Lonchura striata: one gene and its partner. The protein of the gene in region 1 purifies or fractionates together with the protein of each later gene. This does not show direct contact. Links are inferred from orthologs where the notes say so. Each region holds a gene or a part of one and is shown on either strand. Other genes may lie near its edges.

The links.
Region 2: the proteins of NKX2-1 (region 1) and FOXA1 purify together in Homo sapiens (affinity purification with western blotting; 3 studies listed by BioGRID and IntAct, with this or other methods). This does not show direct contact. The link is inferred for Lonchura striata from reciprocal best matches to the Homo sapiens genes NKX2-1 and FOXA1.

Annotation. Positions count from the first base shown.
Region 1 is NC_134608.1:24,780,666-24,795,998, reverse strand, and holds NKX2-1 (homeobox protein Nkx-2.1), read right to left. Parts: upstream 5,359-15,333; 5' UTR 5,316-5,358; coding exon 4,949-5,315; intron 4,179-4,948; coding exon 3,508-4,178; 3' UTR 3,479-3,507; downstream 1-3,478. UniProt on the Homo sapiens protein: Transcription factor that binds and activates the promoter of thyroid specific genes such as thyroglobulin, thyroperoxidase, and thyrotropin receptor. Crucial in the maintenance of the thyroid differentiation phenotype.
Region 2 is NC_134608.1:24,212,119-24,227,710, forward strand, and holds FOXA1 (hepatocyte nuclear factor 3-alpha), read left to right. Parts: upstream 1-9,177; 5' UTR 9,178-9,416; coding exon 9,417-9,488; intron 9,489-11,882; coding exon 11,883-13,145; 3' UTR 13,146-14,453; downstream 14,454-15,592. UniProt on the Homo sapiens protein: Transcription factor that is involved in embryonic development, establishment of tissue-specific gene expression and regulation of gene expression in differentiated tissues.

The DNA of each region.
Region 1 (15,333 bases):
TATCCAAGTTCTGCATTGATTACCGGGAGACTGGAAACCAGCATATTGGAAGAAGCAGGAGTTTAGACGGAGGAACATATTTTAATTTCAATTTTAAAAAGCTATACAGTAACTGTGTTCTCACGAGTATTCTCAAGGGAGACTGGAGACTAAACCGTTTTTACACCCCTCCCTTCAAATATCTTCGTCCTAATCAAGGCATAACTAGTTTACTGAAAAAAATATATGATAAAAGGCAGTATCACAATGTCATAAAAAAACTCTATAAAATTGTTAAAGAGCAGTTTGTTTGCATTTCTCCTGATTGATATGTAAATACAGTTTGAACTGTGTTTGCTCGGTCTCTAGTGCTTAATAAAGAGATGAATTCACCTTTCTGTGGAACAAGTAAACAGACTTTAAACTAAGCCGACATCAGACAAAGTGGAAACGAGTTTATTTAATCGAAACTAAATCTAGTTTAAGAAAGATAAGTCAGTGTACATAATAATCCATTACAGTAATTACACCCACCACCAAATATGTGTTTATGAGGTTGTCGAGACACAATAAAATTACTTTATTTTCCCCGAAGTCTATAATGAAAAGTCACTGACTGGATCTCTATCAAACATGCTAACTCCAATATTCGGGGGCGGGGGCTGTAATATTTTTCGGCTGTATTAATGCCTTTCGGTGCTCCTCACTTTTGAACATTCCTAGGTTTGAAAGAACGCACATTAATTACGTATGAAGGGGAAATGTATACACTTTTCCCTCGTTCTTGCGTATAAACTCCGGGAGAAACTAACCCTAATTTTGAAAACTTCCTTAAAGTTAACCCTGCCCTCGCTTCCTCCGCGGAAGCTGGCAGTTCTGCACCACGGTCCAGGAGTCCCCAGCACTTTCTTCTTTTAGCAGAAATAACAGCACTAAGCTCCAGACACTGCCGCTCCCCCCACCCATCCCCCCGCCATGCTTAACACGATGCTATAGATCTGAAATGAATATTCTGAGCAGAAGAAGGACAAAAAAATTTTGAATAATCTTTGGGTTAGTTAAGAATATCGCTGTATAAATCAGGACATAACCTAAAGAATGAAAGGTCTCGAAATTCCTGTTGACACACGTGATGTCCTCCAGTTAGAAATAAGGGGGAGGGGGTCGGAAAGAATCCGATACATTTTTTTTTTTCTTCCGTGTACTTCCCTTTTTCTCCATCCAGACTAGCACTTGGTGTCCGACTAACATCGGCTATCTTGTATAAATAAAGAACCGGAGCTTTCAAAAGCTACTACTTAAATTGGAATTTGGGTTGTTTCCATCCCAGGCAACCTGTTTTCTTTCACTTCAAAAATATTATTATTTCGTAACCCCTCTGTAATTCAGAGTTGTTTCAATGACTGCGGTCGCTTTCTATGGAATTAGGATAAAAAACGAAACCGAGCAGCAGATGCAAAGGAAAACACGCTACGAGGTCTTTTAGAAGAAGAATACTTCTTAATTTGCTACACTCGCAAAAGGGATATTTGGGACCTGAAAATAGAGAATTACGGGGATTTCGGACTCGTCAGACACGAGCTGTTTGGCTTCATATGCTTTATATATTTACAGGAAAGTTACCGTCTAACCGCCTCGCATTGCCGATAGTTTTTACCTTCTGTGTCTAAGCCCGGCGCGCACCTATGCGGACCCACCCACGTGCGCGCACACACTTTCTCCTCATCTCCTTCTTTACAACTTGTCAAATAGCTCCGCAAAATAACCCCCCAACAAACAAACAAGCAAACTAACAATCCCCCCTTAGAAAAACAACGCGACGCGAAAAAGAGCACCCAATACCAACCAACCGCAGCCCGTCTGTGTTCCGCCGAGCCGCAGCCTGCGGCTGACCTCCGCCTGAGAAGTGGGGTGCCCGTGAGCGGCCGTGTGGGGTTGGATATGTAGAAAATTAAATATATGGAAATGTAGAAAATGAAACACAGCCTGATAAAGAAAGTTAATTCAAACTACATGTTGTACACAATAAACTATCTTTTTATTTTGATTATAAATAAGGTGACTGTACTTCCCTTAAAATACAAGTACATAGGAAAACCTGGTAGAAATTATCTTTCTTTTTTTTTTTTTTTTCTTACAAGGTATTAAAACTGGACACTTTAAATCGGACTCACGTTCTATACTGACAGCAGGTTCTTCGCTATTTTATTTTTTTTTCTAATGGCGTTAGACTTTTACCTTCTTTCTCCTCCGTGCCTTTGGCATTTGAATTTCTAGTCCCGGAATACTTTTCTTTCTCTAGCAAGAAATCGCTGAGGTGCCCCCCGCCCTCATCCCCCAAAAAATAATCGGGCTAATGAATTTGGACTTGATTCCTTCGGTTTCGAGTTCGTGAATCCCAAACGTTTGCTTGTCCTCTTTGCACGCTGAGGACTGATCCTGTAACCCGTTAACCCTTTGGCACAGCTCTCCTTTGGGAATAGGGTCTGGGCCCTGGGAGGGGCATGGGCCTTCCGGGGTCTGACAACATCCCGGGGTGTTTTTCCACCAAGAATAAAAAAAAGAGGGGGGCGGAGGGGGGAAAAGGGGGGGAAAAAAAGGAGGAAGATGTAAGGAAAGGAGCGTCGGGAGGGGAAACCAAAGGGGGAAATAAAAAAGAATATTCGTAATGTGTATAATTTATTAGAAGCTTCTTAGGAACTATATTTAAGCCAAATATCTACATAAGTTACAACAGGAAAAGGCGGCGTGCGCAAATAACAAACTGCCGGAGGATTTACGACGGGGTGATCAGTGTCCATAAAAAAGGTGGGGGGTTGTTTGGTTGATTGTATTTTTTTCCTTTTCTTTTTACAACAAAATATACAGGCTACTAAAAACTATGGGTTTAGTCCAACTTTTGACAGCATTATACAGCTACAGGTTCACATCAAACGTAAGGAGGAAAATAAAAGCCAAGCCTTTGATGACTCCACGTCTCCATCCGCTGGCCCTGGTGGCGGGCTGGGAGAGACCGGGGAGGGGGAAGCTGCTTCTTGTGTCTGGGTGACGCGAATGCGTATTTTTGGGGGGAAAACCACCCCATCCCCCAAAATCTCTGTATTTACATGCAAGTCCTAGACGCTGGCAAAGTGTACATCTGATATCCAAGTCTTCAAACCATGCCTTAAGATGGTCCCCTTTCTGCAGACTGCTCCATGGTTATTAGTCTGAATATTTTTATACACCCCACAGGACAAATCTGGGGGACAAAAAACATAAAGACCCAAAACCATCAACAGTAACAATAAAATGGAACAAAAAAAGTGTCTCTCTCTCTCTCTCTCTTAGAGGTCCGCAGAGACCACTCAGTAAAACGGGGGAAAGGGAGAACATTAAAAAAAAAAAAAAAAAAAAAAAAAAAAAAAAAAAAAAAAAGCACACAGTAGTTTGGAGAGGACAGAGATTTGTGTAACTGGGAAAATTTGTTGGTTTTCTTTTTCTTTTTTCTTTTTGCCTTTTTTTCCCCTTTTTATTTGTTTAATCCTTTTACCAGGTCCTACCGTATAGTAAGGTGGAGCAAGACATGGCAGTGCCATAGTCAGAAGTAGAAGAGTTTAGGTGAGACAAACTGGAGACTTGGCTCTGCAGAGAGGAAGGGCTGGCCGAGTGCTGTCCCATGTCTGGAGACTGCCCCGCACTGTTTGTCTGGTGGCTCTGATGCTGTCCGAGGCTGTTGCCATTGGTAGCCACTGTGATCGTTGTAGCTGCCTGCTGCTGATGGCTCTGGATAGCTGCTGTGGGTGTGTTGGAGCCTGCTTGGCAGGGCTTGCCATCCTTCACAAGCACTGGCACTGCCACCCTTCTGGGAGACTGCTGCTGCTGGCAGGAGCCGTTCTCCTGTTGCATCTGCTGCTGCGCAGCCTTGTCTTTGGCCTGGCGCTTCATCTTGTAGCGGTGATTCTGGAACCAGATTTTGACCTGAGTCGGGGTGAGATGTATCATGCTGGCTAAATGTTCCCTCTCCGGGGCGGAGAGGTATTTCTGTTGCTTGAAACGTCTCTCCAGCTCGTAAACCTGGGCCTGCGAAAAAAGGACCCTCCGTTTCCTCCGCGGCGTGCTCTGGAGCGGGGCCATGCTCTTGCTCACGTCTCCCAGGGAGCCGAGGCTGCCCATGCCTCCCATGTTCATGCCCGAGGACGGCGCCATGAAGCGGGAGACTGCAAGGGAGAAGGCGGCACGTTTTAGGCGGCTCGGCTTGGCCCGGCCCGGCCCGAGTGGGGCCCCGCGCTCCGGCAGCCCCCGCCGCCGCCTGCCCCAGCGGAGCTCCGCAGCCCCCCGGCAGCCCAGCCCCGGCCGCGGCCTCGGGGCACCCGCGCTTCCAAACAACGACTCCTCACGTCCCCGGGGCGAGCGGCGGCCCCCTTCTCGCACGGCCCAGCCCCGGTGAATAAGGGCGACCACTCACCCCTCGTCCTGCCCGGGGGCACAGCCGGGAAAGTACCTAATGTGACAGCCGCGGCGGCAGCGGCCGCGGACAGCGGCTCCGCCGGCGCCGGCCGAAGAGGACTCTGCCGCTCCCCTGCCGCTTCCCGGGACGCGGCCCCGGCGCCTCCGGCTTCCCCCCTCGCCCCCCCATGTGCCGGGCGGCGCGCAGGCGGACGGGCACCGCCGGCTCCCTTTGGGCCCCCGGGCCGCCAGGCTCCCGCCCCGCTGGACGGCGAGAGCCAGGCTCCCGCTCCCCGCCACAGCCGCCCTTCCAACCCCCTTGCCCCGTAAAAGCAGCCGCGGGAGGCTGACATGCAACCAGCCGTGGTGGAAAGACCGGGTACGATCCTAGGCAGGAGGGGGAATTTGGGGTTTGGGGGGCGCGGCTGGGTTTGAGACCGACTTTTGCCCTGTCGCGGACCCCCAGTGCCTTCTGACCGCGGCGTGTCGGGGCAGTTGCGCGGCAAGCCCCCTTCGGCCACCCAGCCCCGAGCTGACTTACTTGAGGAAAAGCGGGGATCCGGGTTGGTGCCGTACCATCCTGTCGCCGAAGCGCTGTTCCTCATGGTGTCCTGGTAAGGCGGCAGCTCGCTCATGTTGCCCAGGTTCCCATTGCAATAGCCCCCCATCGTAGCATGGGAGAGCTGGGGGACCCCTGCCGCTGTCATATGGTAGGCGGCAGTCACTGTTCCGTTGTGGCCCATGGGGTGCTGCTGCATGGCCGGCTGAGAAACCTGAGACTGTCTGTAGGCTGACAGGGGAGCCCCCAAGTTACTGGCCTCCATGCCCACTTTCTTGTAGCTTTCCTCCAAAGGACTCAAGATGTCAGACACTGAGAAAGGAGTCGTATGCTTTGGGCTCATCGACATGATTCGGCGGCTGGGGAAAAAAAAAAAAAAAAAGGAAGGGGAGGCAAATTTTTTTTTTTTTTTTTTTTTTTTTTTTTTGCCAGATATTCTGGTGTTGCCTTAACGCCGATCTTGTTGGATGTACACGTAACCGAGTGGACGAAGTCCGCCTTAATTGGATTGAGTGGAGGCTCAGGGCTGCCTTTCGTTTGTTTTAGCCAGACGCCAGGTTTTAGGCTGCCACCAGAGGCGGGGCATAGGCACTAAAGCAACAAGACAATAGAAGCCTACATCTTGCCCAAGATAATTAGCTTACATGCTGATGACAAGGTAAACACCTTTAAGTCTTACTTGTCAGAATTTTTTTATGTCTTTAGGAAAAAAAAAAAAAAAGAGACAGAGAGGACGGGAGAGAGAGGGAAAAAAAAAAAAAGACCCCGTGAGCACAACTCTTTTTTTTTTTTTTTTTTTTTTTTTTCCTCGGGGGTTACAATATCGTGGACGGGAAATGGAAGGCAAAGCAAAAAAGACCACCATTTGACTGGGTGAAAGGATTTAAAAACAGCTCCCGGGTGGCAAGGCTGTCAGACCAGCCTTTGTGAGAGCTGGGGAAACGGGGTGGAATGCCAGTAAGCCAGAGGACAGAATCTCCCTCTTCCCCCAGTAAGTTTGGTCCGGAAGGAGTCCTGCCGCCGGGAGGACAATTCTTCTGAGGGCAGATCTTTCTCTCGGGGCCACAGCTCCCCGCGCCCCGCATTCCCCGCACTGGCTTGTCAGATGTCCCGGCCGGCTGGGGCTGAACAAGCGCTTGGGGTTTCGCATCTCGGGAACACTCTCTATGTCTCCTAAGACACTCCGTGCAAGGATCGTTTGTCTCCCTAAACCCACAAATTCCTTTCAGCTAGGGATTTTTCTTTTTTTAATATCTCAGAGAGGGGTGGAAGCCACAAGTTTGCAAAATCAAGCAGTAATTTAATTGCCTGGGACGAGAGGCCGATGAAAAATAGGTTAGCGCAAAATGTCGCTTGTTATTCTCAAAGGCAAAGACTCACAGTCTTTCGTGGTCCCTCTGAAGCTGAAGCTGCTTTCTAAGGTTATTTATACAGCACGGCAGCTGGATGGAGAAGACCTCTCCGGTCATCTGCTACACGACCTTGCCAATGAATTCCCTGTAGTTTCTAATAAACTGCAATTTCTGGCACTTTCGGATCGTTCTCGGATCCGGTGTGAAAACAAAAGCGATCCATTCACAGCCACACGCACACGTACAGGCAGCCAGTAGCTAATGTCACTCGGGTCTTTGAAGAAATCTTCCAGCGTCTGGTGTCTCCAAAGCTTATATTTCGGGGTGATCCTAGCGGAGAGAGAAACCTCCCCCGAGTGTTTCACACCCCGGCCTACGGCCCTGGCAACCACAATTTAATACAGCGATTACCTGAATATTAAGAAAATTACAGCGAAGGTACAGTTAACCCTGGGACTTTGAAGTGTCAAGTAACTATTTAGTAATTGCACTTGTAAATATGTTTGTGCTCGGCTAGTTCGTGCTTAAAAATGCAAAAGTGCACTTGCTACCCGGGAATAACTAAATATCTTTGTCTAAAGTGGCAGCATAAATAGCCGGTCGCTTTGTGGCTGTGCTTGATATTAGTACATAAGGATCATTTTGCTTCAATTGGGAGGCTCTCATTCACTAGGCAAGAAACCGTTTAGGAGAAAGTAGGTTCCCGTATGAGAGTTAACATCCTTCAAGTGTAAGCCTCAGTCTTGATTACACTTTAGAGCTCTGCAAGAGGTGAGCTTTTCCACACAAATATAATCGGGGGAACTTTCCTTCAATCAGGCCTCCAGCTCTCTTACATCATCTCAGCTGCTTCTTTCGGCACTAGCTCCCTCAAGGCTGAATATCCCGAAGTGGGCTGGTTGTGAGTCTGCTGGGTCACCAAAGGCAGAGAAGGGCGATTTTGGGCTAGAAAGGCGATTGGTTTTTACCTCTTATTTTTCTTCTTTTCTTTTAAAACCTTTAAATCTTTCCTTTACAGATCTCTGGAACATTTCTTTACAACCCCCCCACCTCCCCGCACCCTCCTCCCTCGCCCCGGATTTTCCCTTTTCTGCGCATATTTTTGAGTATGGTCTTTGGTTTTGTTCCTACACAGAGAGAGAGACTCGACCTTGCCTTAGTGATTTGCTTGCTTGGGGTTTGCGGTTGTTTTTTTTCACCCCGAATTTCTCAGACACTCCATCCCCATGCCTCTTTCATGAACCTTTAAAAGAAGGGGATGGGTGGAAGCAAAAAAAACTTAAATACTGCAGGATCCACCAAAACGACGGCTTGGTCGGTTTTAATCAGAGGCGAAAGGCGGCAAGTGACCGCGCAACGTGTGGGGCAGGAGCAGACACCCCGTTCCCATCCACAAGAGAGCGAGGTGGGGCAGGCGGGCAGGCCCCAGCAGCAGCTCCGGCGGCGGCGGCGCGGAGCGGGGCTCGGGCCCCGCGGGCGGGCCAGGCTCCCCGCCGCCTGCCCCGGCCCGGAGCGCCGCCCGAGCGACCCTTTGGCCGCCGGCTGCGCCTGCCAGAGCTTATTTATCCTCTCACTCGAGTGAGCGCGGGTTAAATCGCCTCCGAAACATTGCTTGCTTAGGTTATCCCGAGCGAGTCGGGCCTTGGCTCTGCGCGCGGTCTGCTAGAGGGAAGCTAATGCGAGAGAGCTCCGTTCACCTTTGCTGGGAAGCGGGTGGAACTCTCTTGTGCACGCCTGACCGCTGAGTTAGGAGTACACCGGCGCGCGTACAGGCACAGCCACGTCCAGCTACTTTTTAGCCCGGCTAGATCGACGCGGTGTAAAGAGGTCAGCCTCTGCACCTGCTTTCCTGCCCCAAATGAGCTATAACAGGGCAAGTCAGACCATGGACAAGGGGCGAGAAAACTTCGCTGGTGTCGTCTCCCTTCAGTCTCTCTTTTCTTTCAAGGCCTCCACCGAAGTTTTGTCTACCAGAGATGGCTGCTCCCAGCTTCCAGGGAGGGTGGCCGTCCCGACGGAGTCCTGCCTAAGCTGCCTTTAAAGAAATGTTCGTTTACCTGGTGATGCTGCTTAGTAAAACACTCGAGTTAAAAAGAAATGCTAAGGAGGAGAGCAAGGAAGATGAGATGCGTTCTGCCTGGTGGAAGCATTTTCATGAGAAAGGCACGGTTTTCACCCCGTGTTTGCAGAAATGCGGCTACACGGACGTCCCTTCAATAGCTTCTGACCCCACACAATCCTTTTGATAACACTCGAGAGGTGGAAGAATGGGAGACTTTGTCAATCAAATGGTGCCAATCCCAATGGAAACGGTGCCACCAAGACCGCAGAGCGTTTCCTCATCAACTGGATTGCGGGGGCTGGGAACTCAAGAATCAGCTTTTGAAAGTGCGCACAGGGCTCTCCAAAGACAACAATGTCTTTTTTATACGAGCTGCTGTGCCTCCCCAAGGGGAATCAGATATGTTCGGCCAGGCAGAGCTCGGAGGGCTCGGAGGGCAGAGGGTAAGGGTCCCACGCAAACCGCACGCAAATTCTTTCTCAACAAGAAAGACGCTTTCTAGGTGTAACTTTTTGATACAAAGCCATGAGGTGCTCCGTGCTCCCTCTGGATCAGTTCACGGGTGCACGTCTAGCTGCACCCCCTGCCCAGCCCTGCCGCCCCAGCGCCCAGCGCCGAAAGGCGGCCCTGCCCGCGGCCGTACAGCCCGTCCTGCCGCGGGAGCAGCGCTCTGCGGCGGGGCCAGCCGCTCCTAGAGAGGTCCGAGTTGGAGGTGGCAAGAGTAGATCTGTGAGAGCTTTCTTCGCGTCTGGTCATCAGTATATATCAGTATATGTATATATTTACATCGAGAGATGTAAATGACCGCCTGGAAAAATGGCACCACCGAGGCAGCTTGCCGCAACTCGCCCCTCTCGACCCACTCTGAACGAGCTCATACACCCTCTGTTTCCCCACGCTCCCCAGAATGGAAGATGTGCCCAGCACACCTACGCCGGGAGCGGAGGTTTCCGTAGTGATAGTGTAGGGAGGACTTGTGTCTCTGCCGGCCGCGGGCAGGGCGCTGGGAGCCGCTCCCGCCTGGAAAGCACATGCTTGGGCGTGTAAGAAGGCAGGAGTCCTCCCAGAGACGCACCCTGCGAGCCCTACCTAGGCACGGAGCGCACTGGGTGTGTGTGTGGGGGGGGAAACGCCTTTTGTGGCTCATGGGGACAATTCCTCTCTGTGGGAAAGCCCCCCTGCCCTGGTTTTCTCGTTAGGGTGGGAGAAACCCCTCGGTATAGCGGGCGAAACCTCTCCCCCTGGCGTGGGAACCTAAGGCAACCAGCGAGACCACCAAAGGCTAAAACGAAAATCCTCACCCCTCCGCAGAGCACGCACAGTTGCTCCTCCAGCTACCCAGGGCGTGGAGCATCTCGCAGCTGGGGGTTCTCGGGGCCCCTTCGCCACCGGTGCCTGGCGGCCCCACTCGCAAAGCTCTGTGCGAGGGAGGGCAGCGTTGCCTCCGCTCTGCTCTTTTCCCTCTTTCCCCAGTTGCTGGAGGACGGCTGAGCCCTCCTGCCCTAGTCCTCGACACCCTCCCCGTCCTTTCCTTCGCCGGGCCGTTCCCGGCCAAGAGGGCCAGGGTGGGGCCAGGTACGGGGTGCCAGGGCAGGGCTCCCGGAGCCGCGGCGGCGGGCGGAGGGCCGCCGTGCCAGGGCGGGGGCGGCGGGGCCCCGGGGCACGCCTCGACCGGCCAGCCACACCGCGCCCCTCCGCGGCTGCACGGCGTGGGGACCCGCGGGAAAGGGCTCTTTGTAGACATGGGTGCCCCGGTAGTCTCGGGTGGATAGCAGCATCACTCGCCCCGATGTGTGAACTACTGTCTGATCGCCTCTCCCGAAATTATCAGCAGTTAATATAAGCCCTCCACATCTGGCATTCTTAGTGTCAGTAGACTGTCGCTGCCGCAACAGCGACATACAAGACTTATTGTTGCCCTGAAGCGTTTTTGATACACCCATGACAGCGGTGATTATGCAGTGGATTTCTTGAAGCTGGTTGTTGAGACAATTTGCTAAAAGTTAGCCTGTAGAGATAGTTAAAATTATAAGCACCTTTTATTTAGCTATAAAATACTTTTAATCGGTATATACCTACGAACAGAATCCCGCCGGGTTCTATCTATTTATCTGCTTTTAGGTATAACTATTAGTATATTACATTAGCTATCTTAGGAGTCATGTGCTTTTGTGTGTGTTCCCAGACATGCCTACACACACACATACAAGCGTGGGGGTGCATACCTCCGGCAGCGGGTATGCGTGAGTATATATTTACGCATACATTCACAGTCCTCAACCCTGTCGTCTCTTAAGTGTTTCAAAAAGGAACTCAGCTTTTAAGTGGGTCACCTCGCCGCCCTCCCTTCCCCTTCCCTCTCCCAGGCCTGTGGCCGCGCCGGCGCCGGGAAAGGGGCTCTCGGCTCCCGGGTGGGGTTGGACGCGGGGGAGACGGACATGGACGTGCCTGCGGGTGCAGAGTGGAGGGGCGGGCTGGGGGTCGGCCCCGGCAGTTTGATTTTCCTCAGACCTTTTTTGTTTCAGGTGGCTGGCGGCGGCGGGCGGCGCGGGGGCTCGTTGCTCACTGCCCCCCGGTTTGGTGCCGAAGCCCTCCCCGTGGCTCCGGGCCTCGGGGGGCTGCAGCCTGCCCTGTGCAGCCGCCCTCGGGGCTGCGCGGACGGCGCACGGGGCCGAGCCCGGGGCGCTCCCCGCGCCCGCCGGCAGTGTGCGCGCTGGTGGACAGGCGACCTTTCCGCCTCGACCTTACCCTGGGGGTAACCAAAGCTCTCTTTTATTTTCAATGTCACTTCGGAGTTTGCCTTTTGTTCCCCGATACCAGGGATACGGGTGGCTCCCCGCTGGCTCGGGGAAGGGCTAGCGGTTTCAAAGATACCTCATTTAAAAACGGCAATGGAGTCCTTTCGACCAGCCCGTGTGGTGCCCGAGCTTTATTTTCGTGCCGGGGAGAATGGAATTGTTTGTTTTGCTTTTGTTTTCACAGCAAAACTCGAGGGCAAGTTACAGGAGGGCTGATAGGAACCCCGGCTCTTCCTCGTTGCCCTTGGGTGCCCAGCAGAGCCACCCAGCCGAGGGCCGCCGCATCCGGTGCTCGACCACGGCAGTCCGGGATCCCGCGCAAACAGGCGCATCCGTCTGCGGATGCCCTGCTGACACTGATTTCGGAGCGACCGAGTGCTCTGATTATTGTCCCCAAATTCTTTTCTGCCTCTCCTCTACTCCCCCGTCTGCTGCTTGACCTGAGCTCCCCCGGTGCCTTTAATTCGGCAGGAAGCTGCCATCTGTCTCATTGTGCCCTTGGCTTTTTTATCTGGGCAAGGGCCACCAGGAGAAGGTGGGCGCTGCACGCGTTGCCAGCCGAGCGGCGGGACGCACCGGGGCCGGTGCGGCGGCCCGCCGGGGCGGAGGGACCTGCGGCGGCCTCCCTCCGCTGGCCGCCGGGGAAAGCGCAGCGCCGGCCCGGGCCGCCGGCGCTGGCGCTCACCTGGGCCTGTCGACTTGCTGCTATTGCTGCTGAAATTTCGCCCTAGCCAAGGCAAAATCATATCAATGAGGAAACAGAACAGGAATTTGCTCAGTTGCCCTTGGGAAGTAATTTCATGGATATTCGTCCATTTTCACTGTGCGTTTCTCCAAATCTAGGGGGAAGGATTAGCTTCTTTCCCTGTTGCTGCAGCTCCTTCTCAACAGCTTCCCACAGAGGTAGCTCTGCCTCTAAGGAAGATTCTTCCCCCTCCTGGGAAAGTGAAATTTGTCTGTTCCTGGATCAAGAGGCACTGTTTAACAGCTGTGCCTGTTCCTAAATCTTACTTTACAGCAGCACAGTCAAACAGTTTCAAATTGTGCTCTTGCTAGTTGATGGTCATATACACAAAAGATTCTCACTCAAAAACTGCCTTTTGGGAGTGACTTTGCCTCTTTCGCAGCTGCTTCCTACCTTCTGAGCTTGTAGCCCAGGAATTCATCTCATGAGGGCTGCTCTCAGTCCCTGCTCTGCAGGAGCAGCCCAATTGCTCTCCACTCTTCTCTGAGTGTGGGAACTGAAGATGCAAATGCCATCCGGGGCTGATGCCCTTGGAGGTAGAGCTGACATGAATCAATGAGCTGGCCTGATAGGGCCAGAGTGACCCAGCTGCCCACTCAGAGTGGTAGGTGGTTTGTTTATCTGTCATGTGAGCCTTAAACATCAACATTTCCCAAGTCTTAAAAAACCCAACAAGCCAACCAGACAACCAACCAACCAGACAACCAACCAACCAGACGACCAACCAAAAAAACAATCAATGCTCACTCTTCCTTGATTTTCTTCTGTTTGTTTCCTGCAAGAGAGCACACAGAAATCTCTCATAAGCAAAGAGGTCCATTTCAGAGGGACAAGGGCAAACATAGAATGTTTCAGAAGCCCGTTTTTCATTTCATGGGAACCAGTGTCTCTGGGAAGATCACGCCCTCAGTCTGGCTAGTACAACTGGTAGGTCTAGTTAAATGCTGATGTAAAAAGCTGCAGCACAAAGGATGCCATTTGTAGCTAAACTTAACAATGAACTTTATTGGTCCTGCTACCAAACCCATTAACAAAGCTCTGTACTCTGCAGCATTGTTTCTGGGGCTGGGTTTTGTTAAGCAGTTACTGATGTATATATATATGGTCCAGGGTGCTGATTTAACAGGTGCATTCCTCTTGCCAGGAAAGGATTCAGTTCAGTTACCAGTTTCAGCTAGTTCAGTTTCAAATACCAGTCTTTCAACTGTTTCTTGCTGTAAATAGGGTCTCAAAAGTTTATTGTACAGTGGGATGGATATATGCATGACATACATGTCAGGAAAGGTTCTTGGGCCATGAAACCCGGGCCAGGAATTTGACAACTCTGACAACAGCTCCCATCATCTCTAAGTCTACAGGTCAGGCATCTCAAACCAGGTCAGGTTCCATCAGCAGGACTACCCTGCAGTACTCCATCTGTCACAGAGTTTGCTCTAAAAGCAGTGTATGTGGCTTGCTCAGTCCAGCACAAGTGGCACCTGTATTGTCATACATAGCAGAGTTCCTGTATTTTATACAAGAAATAGAAATGGAGAATAGTGAGTTACAACTATTTGCAGGACCAAATTTTTTCTGGGATGAATGGGCATCTGTGTTTTTCTGTAACTACAAGCACCCCATATCTTTGCTCAAACATTGTAATTTTCACTCTGCCAAAGACGTTTGCTTATATGAGTTGCACAGTGTAAAATATAGGATGTTTTTCTTGCCAAGGAAGTTGAAGCAACATGTTCATAAAAATGTTTCACCTTTTCCTTGTCCCAAGAAGAACCAGTAATTCAGAAAAGAAACTACAAGATTGGAAAGAGATCTCTCACCCTTGCATCTATGTGAAGAACAAACTGCTCCTAAATGGCTCTCACTGTAACCAGCTGATGTCCATGTCTTCTTCTGTTGTGTCCTGGTAGCAACCTCTCTTCCCTTTGGCTATCCATTGGCAGGATTCTTTGGGTCCCATACTTCTAGGGGATGGGTAGCACAGTTCCATTGCAACTGAGGGTTTATTGAAAGGTTTCCCAGATTTAACAAAAAATGGACTCAGCCTTGCAGAACCTTTCTTCCTGGAGTTGATCATCAAGAAGGAAAGAAAGTAATTCAGCTTGAGGTTCAGTTGGGTTGAAGGACCAAGGGCTGGGAAGAAAAACCAAAGCTTTTTTGTATTGTAACCTAAAAAATACACCCAACAAATTTCTCAATGTCCAGAGGTATCTTATCTTTGAATAAGAACATCACTTTCTATCCAAATAGAAATCCTGAAACATATGCTAAAACAAGTCCTTGCTAGCAGCTCTATTTTCTGTTTTCCCAGACATTAGTAATTATTAGCATTGTAGTACAGAAGAGTCTCCATGTAGCGGGATTATCTTCTAAATTACTTTGGATGATAGACATAATGAAGTTAAAAATTTCACTCATCTTTGCCCTGTCATAAATGAAAGCACATATTATACTTACTCAAAAAATAGCTGACCATAGAATTAGGTTCAAGTTACATTTTCAGTGTAGAAATGTTTATGCTGAAAAAGCCTAGATACTTTCTTGAAAGTAGTTTAATCATGTGAAATAGTCCATTAATGGATTTTGACTACTATTCAGTTTTTAAAATAATGTCCCTTATAATTAGTTCTTCTATCATTCCTTTATGAGCCTTGCTTATTTTGAATTCCAGGGAAAGAAGACTGCTAAGCTGACATAATGAGATAATATCCTTCACTGGCATAAGTAAGGCTCCGAGATGGACTGCTACCCACACTGGTAATTATACATGCTCCATTTCCACAACTGGAACCAGAATGAATGCTCTACAGCATTTTACTCTCTCTGAATAACATTAACTGAAAAAAAACAAGTGAGTAACTTGTTTACGTATTAGTGCTGGAGGAAACAACCTGAGCTGCCTGTCCTTGAGTCTGTAGAGTCAAACTCATTCAGCAAGCACTTAGCACAGGACTAAGGCGGAAGTCATTTTACCACCTACATACAAAACTAGTGTTCCAGCTCTGCCATTCCACAGAGGTGCCAGCTTCAGGCTCTATATGGCCTGGGAAGGGACCAGACAACAGAGAGAGCATCATGGATTTGTCCAGTTGTGAGATGCAAGCTTCACAGGTGAACAAAAGTGACACTTCTGTCCCATCTTGTCTGTGTGAGCTCAAGACACTCTGTGAATATTAGAAGTTTTAGGGTGACAGCTTATTATGATTTATTAAAAGATGCAAAGACTTAGCCCATGGTCATATGGGCAATAGATGTGTCCAAATCATCTTTTAGAAAATTTTTCTGACTAATGAAGGGATGCAAATCCACACACTGCCTGTCTAGCCACACTGACCTTGCTGGCAGCACAACTAGCACAGTTTGTTGTTGAGGCAGAGAGGCAGAACTTCTGGTTAAAAGTACATGCAGTCAGA
Region 2 (15,592 bases), about 570 kb from region 1:
GCAACTGGAGTTAATCATGCTTCCAATAGCCACCTTCATCTAGGCAACCAGAAATCAGAACAGCATGATGCAAATTAAATACCTACAGCCTGCTATGGGCTCTTGAGAAAATACCACAGAGTCCTTGGAAAGATGAGTAGTATTGTTTAAAAAAAAGAAAGAAAGAAAAAAAGAAAGAGCATAACTACTTTACCAACTCTGTGTCTCGCACCTTTTAATTTGACAATAAATGCTAAGCCTCACCTTGGTATCCTTTTCCAGCTGGCTGTGACAATCTCTGCACAAGTCATAGTCCAGAGGCTCCCCAACCCTGCTGGAGGGGGCTGCATTCTCCCTTCTGCTGTGCTACAGCCAGAGCACCAATCTAGTCTGCATCAGAATGGCAGTACACGTGCTCAAAACTATTCCCCAATGCAATAACAGAAAGGATAAGAGCATATCTACAAATACATTTTCACCATGATGTCAAAGTAGCATTATTCCATTTTAGAAACCAGAACAAAGAGAGACTGAATGACTGTCTGAAGTCCCCTAGTAGAACCAGTAGTAAATCCATAACTGAATCTGTGCTTCTGACTGATAATAAATAGAAAATCAGAGGTATGTATACTCTAGATACAGGCTACTGTTTGCTTTTCCAGGGCATCAACATCTTTAACATTTCTGCCAGGTATATATATAAAATGGGCACAAATAATCAGAGTAAATGGATTAATTATAAGCTAAAATTCTGAGCTGTGATTTATGGGCATTGGGAATGTAGCACAAAAAGTTCTCTGACAGTTACACTCTGGGGACAGTAATCTGTAGCAGAAGAGTAGAGTAAACGGCAGAGGGGTTATCTCTTAAATCAGACAGTGTCAATACTGAAAAGACTTTTTGTTAGTTGCATCTAGCTGAGCTGAAGGAAATACTTTTTTTTTCCAGTGATCAATCTATATTGAATCCCTTGTGCAGTAAGCAGCCATGGAAAGGTTTTGTGGAATTAGTATTATAAATCACACATTCAATCCCTTTGTGGGTGTTGAAAGCATTGTCATTCTTCTAATCACTATATCCTATCTTTGATCCATAACAAATATGCACACCCAGCTCTACTAATCTCCATTATGATTGTATGATATCTGTATTTGCCAGTGCCATGCCAGCAGAAATAGTTAACATTTTTTTCTTCCTCCTAGGATTTTGGGCTTTGTCTTTTATTTTCTCCTCTCCCCATTTAAGAACATTGGTATTTCCTAATATAATATAATGTAATTAGGAATAGATACAAATAAAAAAGTTGAAAACCAGGTGAAGCTCTATTATTATAAACAGTATTTATAATGAGAAGATCAATACAATGAGACAATCACTTGGTCATTTTGAGTGATAATGATTCACAAATTTATTTTTAGTATGACATGACGGTAGTGTTTCCAAGTACATGTTATTTTATTATATAAGAAATTACATTAGCTACTTCTGGAAGTCCATCAAACATGGCTGTTATTATATGCACAAGGTCAGAGAGACATTCCTGTATTTGAATAAGGCTGTAAGCAATAAACAGACATTACAGCTAAACACCTGACAAAGTCTTTTCTGGGACTGGGCCTTTGCTTGCTTTAGTTTTAAACTTTGATTATATTTGATCATATCAAAGATATATCTCTACCCTCCATTGTCTTTCAATTAATATAGCAGGTTTCCAATTGGCCATTCCAGTCCAGCTCTTGTGTTCTCTTAGGACAACAGCTTGATAGTGAATACATAGGTGCAGTTATATATGTTTATATTTATAGATCTCAGGTTTCACATAGCTGAAGACTCAGCTTTGGTGGACATAACAGTCTCACTTAATCATAAGAAAAAACTTCATATCACAGCAACAAAAAGAAATGCCCCTCAAAGGGCAAGGAGAGTTGTCTGCAGAGGCTGAAGTTCCAGCAGCCTCTAAGGATAATACCAGAAAAGTTTTAAAGGATTGCTAGGAATGGATGGATTTTGGAGCAAATATTCATAGATCCTGAAAAGGGGAAAATTGTTCAATGGGTAATGGCAAAGCCAACTGATGATCCATGAAATTGTTTGGATGCAAGAGAGGAGTTTTCTCTTTAGGAGGAACTGAAGGAAAGTTTAGGTGTTAGATTCCCTCAATCATCCCACATTAACACATAAAAAGGAGTAAACCTGAAACTACATGCATGGCAGAAACACTTAGGCAGCTGTCTTATTGGCTAGAACCCTTTCTAGGGAGGAGGAATTATTTAAATCTGATTCTTACCTTGTCTCACCTGTAGCTGCACAGAAAACTGAACCCAAGTGATGGAAGCCATGTGGTGACCTAAATAATCTTCATAATGTCAGTCTCTTTAAACTACTCAGCAGTTTTCAAATTCACCCTTGAAGTACTTGAAGCAGCAGCAGAAGTTTAGACCAACTGCTGGAATTATGAAATACTTCAAAATACTGAACAGCTTCTTCCCGTGGGAAGTCCTAACATTTTACTAAATCCAGACCTTCCTCTACTTTCCCATAGTCACTGGTTGACTATACTGTTTTATGGATCTCATGCCTTTAGGATGTTACCACTTGATACTCACATTCTCACATTTCAGAGTAAAACTACAGACTGTGTTAGGATCTCTGGTCATCCTTTTCCAGGGCAAGCATCATTTTTGCTATACATAGGTTAGTTATGTCCTGTAATGGAGTAAATGACCAGTGTTTGTATATCTGTGAAAATGCTGCTACACATCCCACAATTGCTCATTGTCCTTGTTAATACAGGACAAGAAAATGAGCTCAAGAAAATTCAGCTTGAATTAATTTATGCTCTAGGAACTGCAAGCTGGATAACACTGTGGAACTGCTCCCTGAGGAGGAGTTTAAATAGGCCAGCCTTTATTTTGAACATTTAATTCTTCAGAGCTGTCAGACAAGAAAGCCATCTAGAATGGATACCGGTCTCTCCCAGTGTTTTTCTGCAGAACTACTGCAGAGACAGAGACAGTGAAATAAATAGTTTTTGCAGGTAAAGTAGAAGATGGCAAACAATTTGAAAATATGTTGATATGCAGTGAAAGAAAGTAGCATTCCTTCACTCTCCATCACTCAAAATTAAAGGTATCAAACCAAGTCTACTTTCTGCATAGGAAAGTCAGTTTACAAAGGAACTGGAGTAGTATATGAAGATGAATATTACAAAGAGGTGATCAGCTCTGAATCTATAGTCCGATACATAGATATTGTTTTTTATCAGTAAAGCCGATATTCTCAAAGATAACTCATGCAGGTTTTGGAGAAAGAAGGCTATCAGAGCATGGAAATGCCTTTGATTCCAGAAGCAGATACTGTTGGAGCAAGGGAAGCAGATTTCGGTCCATTAAATTACTGGGGCAACTTTAACAAATAAATAATTCTAGAATTCATGCATAGGTGCATCTCCTATCAAGTGTTGTTTTTTGTACCAGTTTATTTAGTTTAACAGCACTCACTGCCTTAGTTTGCTTTCTTTGCTTCCTGCAAAAATCCATATATATCCTGAAACACCATTTTTGGAACCTGGGTGAGATTCTGCAAAGTGGGTGCCATCTAAGTACTTGTGTTTATCTGTGCATAATCATATTCCCATCTCTTCTGATAATGTGTCTTCCATGCCATAGTACTGTGGCTGCTTTAAAACAAGACACCCTTTATAACAAAATAAACCAAGCAAGATTTTCAAAAATATATCAAATAATTGAACAAGAATAGACACACTGATTGAAATACACAACAGAAGCATTTACATTTATGTTTCAGTATATCATAACATAAGTAAAACAAACTATAAGTGAAATAAAAACCTACATGGCTGATCTTGAATCAAAATTTAATTATCAACCGAATTTATTCTTGTAAAATTAAAGTAAAACACACTTGGTCAATCACATGCTGAAGTGCGGGCATTCTGCCAGCTGGAGTTCTGGAAAGGGCATACATACATCTAACCATATTAGCAAAAATAAACTGGTTGTTTATGATAGGTAATGATTTACCTAGTTACGAACTCTTTATTACACTATAGAAAAAACCTGAAAGAACACAAAACAGAAGCTCCCTTATTCTCTGTAACCATCTGATATCAACATCCATAATTTTTCATTTCATTATTTGTTCCTCTTTCTCCTTTAATTGGTCAGATACATGAGTATTTTCAGATGGTGGAATATTATTTGTTATGTTGTTCAAGTCTTATGATATCAGTTCTGCAGAATGCCTAGAAAATGAAATGCAATGTATTGCACTGAATATAAAAAAATAAAATAAAATAAAATAAAATAATAAAATAAAATAAAAAATAAAATAAAATGAAATAAAATGAAATGAAATGAAATAAAATAAAATAAAATAAAATAAAATAAAATAAAAAAAAATATAAAATAAAATAAAATAAAATAAAATAAAATAAAATAAAAATAATCCTGCAGCGGAATATCACTGTTGTAATGAGCAATGTCTGCAGGGCCTGACAGAGCGGCCATGGAAGGAGCACGGCCCTGAGACTGACCCGTGCGAGCCCGCGGGCCCGGCGCCCCGGGAGCGGCCCGAGGGCGCGGCCGCGGCAGGACCGGGCCTCGGAGGGGCCGCGCTCCCGCAGCCCCCGGGGCACTGCCCGGCCCCGCCGCCTCTGCGCCCGGCGGCGGCGAGGGCGCTGGAAACCCGCGGCAGAGGGCCCGGCAGCGGGCAGGCACCCCGCCAAGAGGGGTGAGACCCCCAGCCCTCCCTGCCGTGGATGGTGCGGCGGAGAGGGCGCGTCTAGTTCGCCCCGGAGAACCAGACCACGGCTCCTGGGGAGGAAGAGGTGCTGTAGGAAAAGGGGGTGCCCTACCTTGGGCCGGTCGCAGGAAGGAGGCCACTTGATGGTCACAGTCGAAGACTGGAAGAGTACTCTCACTTAGCAAAAGCTCAGAAGCAAATGATGACCCCGTGCAGTGCCCTCTCTGCCTGGGCCCTGCTCCCCAGGAGAGGAGGGTGAGAAGCCGCCTTTCTCGCCCGTGGCTCCGGCCGTGTCTGAGGGGACCCCCATGGGCTCTCCTACATGAGAACGGGAGCACAGAACCGGGGCGGCTGTGCCTGTGTGAGGGGCGGAGGGAGGGAAAACAACTCCGATCCGGCTCCTTCTCTGTGGGCTCCCCGCGGAAGGAGAGGCGCTACCGGCAGTCACCTACCCCCGCTCCCGGAGCACCCACGATCCCTCCCCGTCCGAAGCTCCGGACATGGGCACGTTCCCAGACGGTTACTGTTTGCCCGCTTGAATGTGGGAGGATTTCGGGCTGGAAATGGAAATAGACGGGAAGAAAGAGTTCCCATCGTGGGGAGAAGGTGGGGGAGGTGACGGGGTCCCACGATGTTTTCGGCGACCCGCTGCACAGGCTTGGGCCAGTCTGGAAAGCCGGGTATGAGGGACCCTGCGCAGGAAACAGATACGCGCAAACGAAAAGAAGGATGTACAGTATAGGGCAGGGAACGAATACCGATGCGGAGATAACCTCACAGCTCCTTCCCGAGCTAAACGTCTGGCCCGCGCAAGCACTGCCGAGAGAATCTCTTCCAAAAGACGATGGTATTTTGGATAAAATAAAGCCCCTGCAAGTCAAACCGAAGGACCGGCAGATGCTGCTGCTGCCAGGGGAAACAGACCAGAACGAACTGAAACAGCGCTCCACGTTAAAATTAAAGCTCCCGCCGCTTGCATCGGCCGCCCGGCCCACGCGTGAGAGAGAACCTGCGGGCGGCGCTCCCGGGCGGCGATGGGCGACCGGCGCCAAGGAGCTCCGGTCCCCGTGGGCAGCGCCGTGCCGGGGCCAGCTCTGCTCCTCGAGCAGCTGCGGGAAGCTCCTTCCCAGGGGCGAGGCCACTCGGCCCGGCCAGGAGGCGACGAGATTCCCAAAACCCAGACACTTGCTGAGTGGCCTTTGTGGGGCCCACCTTTTCCTGACGGCGCTGGAAACACGGTCTCCCCTGAAAGTCCTGCCCCCGCTCCACATACATATTTCCATAATTTTTAGGTCAGGTTTTATGTTTGCACCCTTGGTGCAAACAGAGCAAGCACACCGGTGGAGCCAAGACCCTGATCCCATCTAGCTGGGTAAAGCAGAGCTCACCTCAGCCTGCAGTTTCTCCAGTTTGCACTAAAAGCTCGCCCTGAAAAAAAATAAGAATCAAAGAAAGAAAAAAGATGAAACAAACAAACAAAAAGTGTACAGAAACTGGTGCTACTCGAAACAGAGCTGGGGAAAGGTACTGTGTAATTGGGACCAGCGCTACTAACCTGACTCCTGAAAAACGCATCATCTAGGCGCGACTGGAGAGCTCCTGGCTACTAACACAGCGTCCCGCATCCTAGGAGAGTGCTTCTGTGCTGACCCTGGTGCAAAGGATACTGATAAATCCTGCTGGACTCGCAGAGCATCCTACATAGGGCTTCACTACATAAAGGCTCAAATGCAGGGCAAGGGCAACTACCGAAATACCCGCTTTTTCCTGTGGCCGTGGGCAGAGGCATCCTAACCCTCTTCTGGACTTAAGGGAGGATTTTCTCCACCAGGGCTGCACCACAGCAACCGGGCTGAAGAGAATTTCCAGCAGCGGCTGGCTCTGACTAGGGCTTGCTTATTGTACGTCAGGTCGAGAGGCTCTAAGCAGATTAAGAGAAGATCCTGCCTGTGCTCTCACCTCTGGGAGCAACCTCAGGAGGGAGCTGAGCCCGCAGCCGGACAACAGGAGGCGCTGAGGCTTTGCACAACCCCCGGCTCTCCTCCCCTCCCGGGCAGCGGGCATCCCAGCCGGGGCGGCCTGGGGGCGGCCGGCCCGCAGGGCGGCTTTGCCGGCTCCACGTTTGCTCCGCCCGATGAAACGCCTCCATGGTTTGTAGCAGCATCCGATGAGCGTGGCCGGCTTTGTGCCTGGCCTTTTTTCCAGGTACAGGGTGACCCAGCGTGGGCTGCCCGGCGTCCCGTCGGGTGTTGCTCCCGCGGGGCTGGGCTCTGGAAAGCGAGGCAGCACCGCCCCGAGGTCACCCAGCGGGGGGGTGCCGGCAGCGGGGTCTCGGGGGCAGCCACACTCCTGCCAGCATGTCCGCATGCGGCTGTGCTGCCAGGGGGGAACCATACTCCACAGATCTCAAATACTGAATTGGGCAAGCCACCACCGAAGGGTCCCTGTTTTCAGACATATACACCGCTTCCATTAGGAAAAGAGTGGGGGTGCCTACATGAAGACTGCAATCTTAATATTTCTTAGGTATTCTATTGAGGTTTGTCCCAATTTCCATGGGTGTAGCTTGACCACTTGAGAAAACAGGGGTCTAATTCACTGCTTTTATATATTTTATTTCCTTCAAGACATATTTTCATATGCTGCTCTCCTCTGCTGATTCCAGAGTTTTGTTTCGAGGATTTGACTTAATTCTGTTGCCAGATTAAAAAAAAAAAAAAATTATGAGGAGAGAAAGAACAAAGAAAGGGGTAAGAGAAAATGCATTTAGAGAACAAGTTAAAACGTATTTGTCGTGGCAGAGATATGCTCTATCTCTGCTCTATCTCGCCATTTGAATCCAGTGTCTCTATAAGAAACTTTGAAATCCTGTTTCTGGGGCTATTTCCACAGACCACTCGAGAACAAATCACTGTGGAAGCAACTGTGGCCATGCTGAATGATAAACATGTCAAGCTGAAATTCAGACCCAGGTGTATATTATAGTTTGTGTGGTATGATGTGCAAGTTTTTTTCAAAATCCCAAGAAGCTTTATTTCCCCTTCAAATTTCCACTGTTGGAAAAGTTGTTTGGGTTTGGGGGGGTAGGGTTATTAGCTGCTGGTTGGTGATGTAGAATTTTTTTTTGTTTGTTTTGACTTTTTGGTTTTTGTTTTCTACTATGAGATGATAAAAGTTCTAGTAGCTACGTGAGAACGAACTCACAAGGGATAGGATAGAGAAACCTAAGAGAAGTCCGTGGTGTTGACATAGGCTCGAAGAGCCGGACAGGACAGAAAATGTTTGATCCCTCTGCAAAGACTGAGAAATTCCTCCCATAATAATAAAAAGCTTTTTCCAATGTCAGTTTGTTTTATCGGTGTTTTTTGCCTTTTACCAGCCTGTGTAGAATCCTCCTCCCCGGTTCGTTGTGAGAAATCAGGTCAGTAAGCAAGAAGTTGGAAATGAGATATACCCGCTACCTATTATTGCTGCTCCTGGACGTCTGGCATCAAAGAAAGCTTCCAAATGAGCCTTCTGGGCTGAAGGCTTTCCACAGTAAGGATATAAAATGGTTCTAGTGACTCACCTGATGTTTGCCAAGTGGAGGTTAATATCAGTGGATCCGCATTCAGGCCTCTGTCCGTATTTATTGGGAACCTGTAGTATTATGTCCTCAGCACGGTGACTCACATAGTTTCTGAACATAAGGCACCCGAAAAAGCAATATCATTATCACCATTTACATAGGACGGCACCCCGTTTGAAGGGCTGTTTTAGTCCGGAGGAGGAGGGTGGTGGGATGGGGGGAGGGTTGGGACGGCTTTGGGGGGCGCGGAGCCGAGCCTCCTGCTCACAGCCCGGAGCGCCTAATCCGATCCCCTGCCCCGAGGGCGATGGGAACGTGGGGCGCTGCGGCAGGGCCTGGAGGTACCTACGCGATAACCAGCTGTGAATGGACGAGCGGGAGAGGGGGGAACCTGTGGACTTCAGGACTCGGGACTTTGAAGCACGTCTCGGCCATCAAGTTAAAGGAGCATCTACCGGCCTTTAGTAAATATTGCCTCTAATCTCAGGGGTTTAAGGCTGGATGGCCTTTTGCATTCTCTTCAAATAGAGGGGGCTGCCCTTCCTTCATCTGCCTCATTTCATTTCCCCCTATCCCTCCTAGCATATGTCCTGTCCACCTGAAAGGGTGGTCGTGCCCGTCCCCCGTCCCATCCCGTTCCGCCCCCCGCCCCCCTCTGTCCCCCTCTCCCACCTCTGTCTCTCCTTCTTTCCCCACAAGCTTAAACCAATTACGCAGCTTTGCAAATAAAGTGCTGCCCCGGGGGGAGTTGCAGGCGAGGGGGACTGCCTTGTTTGCAGGTGCATCTCCGGCTTTGTAGGTGCGAACGCCTTTGTGCGGCGGACAAATGGGGAGAGGAGGAGGAGGAGGTGGGTACTTCTGCGACGTAAGATCCACATCAGCTCAACTCCACTCACATCCCAGCCGCACTTCCTCACTTTCTCAACTGTCTCGCCCCACACCGCTCCCTGCCTCCTTTTTGGCTGGTTATAGAGCAGAATTCAGCACCCCTCGCCCTTCCTGAGAGCTGGTTTCCTGCTAGGTCGGGCTTTCGGGCTCTTTTCCTACTGCCCGTCGCTCGCTTGCAAGAAGGCTGGATGGTTACACCGGGCAGGTTGGCTCCATAATGTTAGGGACTGTGAAAATGGAAGGGCATGAAACCAGCGACTGGAACAGCTACTACGCCGACACTCAGGAGGTGAGTAAATCCCAGGGTCTGGCTTCTCTGCTGCCCCTGTGCAGGGGAGGGGAGGACCTGGGGGTGGCTAGGGGTCTGGAGGGGGCAGCAATCGGAGGGATCGGTTTGCAGTACAGATCCTGCCAACGCAAACGTACCTCCCCCTCCCTCCGGCGCCGAAACTGGCTAGGCTTCCCCAAGGAAAACACAGCTTCCAGGAGCCCTGGAGGCGTTTGGGGAAGACACGGGGCGGCTGCGAGCCCGCCAGGAGGGCCGGGGGGCCGGGGGCAGCCCTTGATCTCATCTAAGAGGCGTAATATTCTCTCGCGGCGGGCACAAAAGCACCCCGAAAACTCTTGGCTCGGGGCAGAGAGCTCGCCGCGCCGGCGGCACCCGACTCCTTCCCGGCAGATGGCAGGGGCCGAGGGAGACAGACGCCAGCGCGTTCTGGTCGGGGGCAGCGGCTTCCCCCAGCTCCTCGGCGGGACCTCCGGCCTCTCTGCTCGCCAGCGCCGGGCCCTCACCTGTTAAAGCGGGGGAAAGGAAAGGAGGGGGAAGACCGGCAGTTTGTCCGCACTTTGCGGACGGGCTGCCCGCGGCGTGCGCTGCTGCCGCGGGCCGGCTGGCGGCGCTGCCGAGAGCCGGGCCGGGGGGGGCCCGCACCCGGACCCGCCGCCCCCCACCCGGACCCGGTCCGGACCGCCGCAGGCGCTTCCGCCCCCCGCGCCCCTTTGGCAGCGACGTCCGTAAGGCGGAGGAGAGCCGGCCCAAGCGCCCACAGCTGCGGCGGAGGAGAGGGCCGCGGCAGAGCCCGGAGCGCACCCCCGGCGCGCCTCGGCCCTGTGGGGCCTGGGGTCCGCGCTGTGCCGCTGAGGCTCCGCAGCGGGGGTCCCGGAGAAGCCAGCGCTCGGCAGCACGGCCAGCAGCACTGCGGATTCCCGCCCTGGAAGGAGCCGTTTTGAGGAAGTGAGGCAGCGAGGCAGGCACCTGGGTGTGCGCACCCGGGCATTGCATCAGCATACCCGGACACACGGCTCCACAGTCCCCACGCCTCGTCCCGCACCCGGAGCTGGCACACGCGCCCATAGGGCCACGCGGACAGAGGCCGATACGTGTCACCCGGCTGGCATCTCCTTTAATAAAGGAAAGTCGGCTAAGGGCAAACAAGGGTCATCCTAATTACGTGCCATTTCCAGACTCATTTTTCCTCGCTTATACGCATTGTCCACAAACATAAAGTTAAGGGAACTTCGCTTTTGCGATTTTTTTAAACTTCCATCTTTCCTCACCTCTTGCCATTTAATTTGAATAACTGCATGAATGCAACAGGGAAACCCAGCTGCGTTCTACCATCTCAAATATTTAATGTGATCCTCTAAATCAAAAGTGCGTTTATAAGTTCGTGAAATTTATTGGGATCAGAAATGAATTTTAAATATTTAACCGTTGCTTAAACCTCTTTTTCTTAGCCATATTAGCCGTATTAGTTCGAGTAAACTGGGAACGTCTTTCTCTCTCCTGTTAAATCAGATACCGTAGTGGAAAGCACAAATTCAAGCTCTCCGGCTCTGCCCTTTTTAAGAGTTATGTGTTTGGGTGCTTCAATTTTTTCCACGTCGTGCAATTGTAGAAAATCTCAGAGAGGAGAAGTTCAGGTTTTTCCTACTTTGGAAAAGTTTTGGTGTTTGATTGGTTAGTTGATTTTTTTTTTTTAACTTTAATTTAAAGACTATTTTGATAGAAAATGTAGGCAGGGGGAAGCTTTCCACAAATAAAACAGACCAAAAAGACCTGTTCCGTTTGGGTGAGGGTTTTTAAAATTATTTTGCAACAAGACATTATTCCATCTTGTATGTTTTTTAGGAAAGAAATTTAAATTATTGCAGGAAGGGAGACATGCGTGAGATTTTTCTCAGCAAATACAAGCAAACAATGTACATCCGCCAATTTCAATACTCTGATGAGTTTAAGTATTTAACTAGAGAGACAGGGCACATAAACAACAAAACACGGGAATGCGCTGGACACGTCCTGCCGGGGCAGTCTGAGCCCGCAGCCCGGCTCCGCGAGGGCTTGGAGCGGTTCAGGGAAGACGCTCGGTCCGTGCGCCGCTGAACCCGGCGCAGCCCGCGCAAGCTGCGACACGCCGGTAAACCGGGAGTGCGTCCGGAGAGAGCACCCCCGCTCCGTGTTCGTTTATAAATTTAAATAGATATGAAATAGACCTTTTCATGGAAGCAGCTGCCTTTCCGTGCTGCTTTGAGGAAGCGTTTTCCCCTGTGTCGGGGAAGCGGCCGGCGTCCCGCGGCAGGACGTTTGCACGGCTGGCTGGGCCGGGCGGGCGGATCCGGCCCCTACGGGGTCCTGCCACACCTCTCTCCTCTCTAACTCCGTCTCTTTGTCTCGCTGCCCTAGGCCTATTCCTCGGTGCCCGTGAGCAACATGAACTCGGGGCTGGGCTCCATGAACACCATGAACACCTACATGACCATGAACACCATGACGACAAGCGGCAACATGACCTCCAGCTCCTTCAACATGTCCTACGCCAACACGGGGCTGGGGGCTGGGCTGAGTCCCGGCGCCGTGGCTGGCATGCCGGCAGGCTCGGCGGGGCCCGTGAACGGCATGCCGGCCGGCGTAGCCGCCATGGGCACGGCGCTGAGCCCCGGTGGCATCAACGCCATGTCTGCCCAGCCGGCCCCCATGAACGGGCTGAGCCCCTACGGCAGCATGAACCCCTGCATGAGCCCCATGGCCTACACCCAGTCCAACCTCGGCAGGACACGGGACGCTAAGTCCTTCAAGCGGACTTACCCCCACGCCAAGCCGCCCTACTCCTACATCTCCCTCATCACCATGGCCATCCAGCAGGCACCCAGCAAGATGCTGACGCTGAGTGAGATCTACCAGTGGATCATGGACCTTTTCCCCTACTACCGACAGAACCAGCAGCGCTGGCAGAACAGCATCCGCCACTCGCTCTCTTTCAATGACTGTTTTGTCAAGGTGGCCCGGTCCCCCGACAAGCCCGGCAAGGGCTCCTATTGGACCCTGCACCCCGACTCCGGCAATATGTTTGAAAACGGCTGTTACCTCCGCCGGCAAAAGCGCTTCAAGTGTGAGAAGCCGGCTAACAGTAAAGCCACTCAGGAGGGCAGGAAAGATCAGGCTGGGGCCTCTAATTCAAGCTCCAACTCCCCCCTGCACAGAGGCCACAACAAACCTGCGCAGCTGGATACGGCCACCTCTCTCTCCAGCTCCAACCCGTCCACCAGCCCTCAGTCTATGGACCACAGTGGATCAAGCACGGAGCTAAAGACCTCGGCCTCGGCCGCCTCCTCCACCATCAGCTCTGTACCAACCTTGGCCTCCGTCCCACACCCCCCTCACTCATTAGCCCATGAACCCCAGCTCCACCTCAAGGGTGATCCCCACTACTCCTTCAACCACCCGTTTTCCATCAACAACCTCATGTCCTCCTCGGAGCAGCAGCACAAGCTGGACTTCAAAGCCTACGAGCAGGCGCTGCAATATTCCTCCTACGGGGCCAGCATCCCCGGCGGGCTGCCCCTTGGCAGCGCCTCCATGGCTGGCCGGAGCAGCATCGAGCCCTCGGCCCTAGAGCCCTCCTACTACCAAGGTGTGTATTCCAGACCCGTGCTAAACACCTCCTAGCTGTGCAACCCCCGCCGCCGGGGCCGAGACCCCTCCTCCCCTTCCTGGCTTCTCTCCCGCTTTCCCTGAGACAGACCAAGGTGTTTCCGCACGCTGCGTGCAAAGGACTGTTACTTTTTAATTGTCTCGCAACGCGTTGTCTGTTGTTATGATCCACCACGACCTCCTGCAAAGCCGGCCGTGTCCCGCTTGTACATATTCCCTCCGGCTGCCCAGCCCCTCTCCCCGGAGACCTCCCCAGCCTATGCAGGGTGTTATTAAAAAGAAGAAAAAAAATGTTGAGCGTGTAAACTACTTGTTTGTGCTTTCTGCCCCCTCGTCTCCCTCCCTATGTGTTCTATAATCTCATGTAAGTTTACAGGTATGTGGCAATACTTTAACAATACGGAGATGAAGAAGCGAGTAGACATTTAAGACTTTTTTTTAATTAAGAAGGCTTTGAAGGACAATACTGCTGTGAAGTAGCAAAACACTAAGAGAATCTCTAAGCAACAAGAGAACTATTTACTTTCTCGGATCATCCTTTTGATACTTGCAAAATAAACCTTCGGCTACTACAACCCACATAAAACCCAGATGCTGCGGGCCGGATCCTGCACTCCCGAGGGGACCAACTGGAGCTTTGGAGTGCAGGATGCGACCCTTATCTTTTTCCAAGTGTTACCTGTTTTGGGATGTAATATAAAGTTACAAGAGGTCACAACCAGTTGGATTTTTTTCCTCTTCCCATCTGTTACTGAAGATTCTAGTTCATCAGGAACTCTCATCAACATGTGGATGACATACTTATTTAAGTGTATTCATTGTATACCAGCTAGAACTGTGTATCTATAACCAGGTTATTTTCCCCCTCCTCTAGGAAACATTGACTACTACACTGATGCAAGGAAAAGAGGACAGCTCTGTCTCTCCCCCCTTTTCAAACTTGTCTAATATTTTTTTTTTTTTGTGGCCGTTTAATTATCGCCATCGTTAGCTTATATCATCCAGTGTTATTGCACTTTCCACAGTTTTACACGGTGTTAGCATAGCCAGACGGGTTTTATTATTATTCCTGTTCGCTGTTTCAATGTTCTTAATTTATTGCATGGTTTATATTGTTTTCTTTCTTTACAGCTGGAAATTGCTTTAAATGACCGTAAAAAATAATTACACGTGAATTTAAGAAATTTTGTTAATTTTATAAATGTGATTGTAATTGAAAAAAATATTTTGATTTAAAACGATAACTGAGAATTTAATGCGTGAAGTATGTTTTTGATCATTTGCAGTTAAGGACTTTAAATAAATCAAATGTTATCAATGAAATACTTCTGCTATTTTCTTACAAAATTTCTGGGACGGGTTACGGAGGACGGAGCCCTGTGCAAGAAAATCAAAACGTCGTGGTTAAGTGTGGATGTGAAGAGGAAAGATTTATTCGGCCAGGCTTGTGCAGAGGGAAGGCGGGGGACGCTCCCGCAGGGTATGCTTGTGGGGCGCTGCGATGCCACCGGCCTGTGAAGCTGAGTGTGTGGTAATGTCTTTTATTTTATTTTTTTTCCCCCTCCCTAATTCACGGTTCTGGGATATGGTGAGGGATGGCAGGAAAAAGCCTCCCGAGGCGATGTAACCTCCTGGGTGTTTTGCGGCCAGGGCTGCAGGGGCGGCGGCAGCCAGGCTCGGCGTTTCCCCGCCGAATGGGACGACGCCCACGGGGAGCATCCCCAGGGCGGCTCCACGCCGCTCTCGGCCGCTGGAAAGGCCCAGATCCCGCTTTGTAGTTCTGGCTCGGAACCATCCGTCGGAACGACACCAGCAGCCGCGCTGCAGAGCTCTGTTCCCCAGCAATAGACTTTGTCGGGGGAGGGGAGTTTAATTGTGAACGGATTTCGCTGTGCCGAGCCCCGTTCGTGCGCGGCCGCCAGATGAAAGAACTGTGTAATTCTCGTAATTATCACATAATTGCCCCCTGACGGGTTAGGGACAGCGGCGACAAACTAATTTAAGGTTCGACTTAGAAAAGAAAAACCAAGCCAGCATCCTAGAAATCTCACCACATCCCTCCAACACTACTACCCAGCTAAAAACGGGAGGGAAAAAAAGTCTTGGGAGAGGCTCTCTGCTTTGCAAAAGTGGCCGGATCAGCGGTGATCCCGGTCGGAGATGCGCGCACGGCTCTCCCGGTGACACGGAGCTGTCTCCCTCGTCGTGCTGTGCGGTGCCCTGGGTCGGGCGGGCGTTTACCGCAGGTCCTCCCCCGGCTGCCGAATGCGAGTCCTGCAGCGCGGGGGAGGGGGCTCTGTCCCCGTCGCCGTGTGCGGCCGGTTACCCCATGGCCCGACTGTGCGGCACCTTCGCTTCTGAATATCCCGAAATGGCAAACATCAACAGACCCCCCGCAGCCAGGGGCAGCTCGGGGCTGCTCGGCACCGGGTCTGGGCAGGCGGATCCTATTTAAAGCCCCG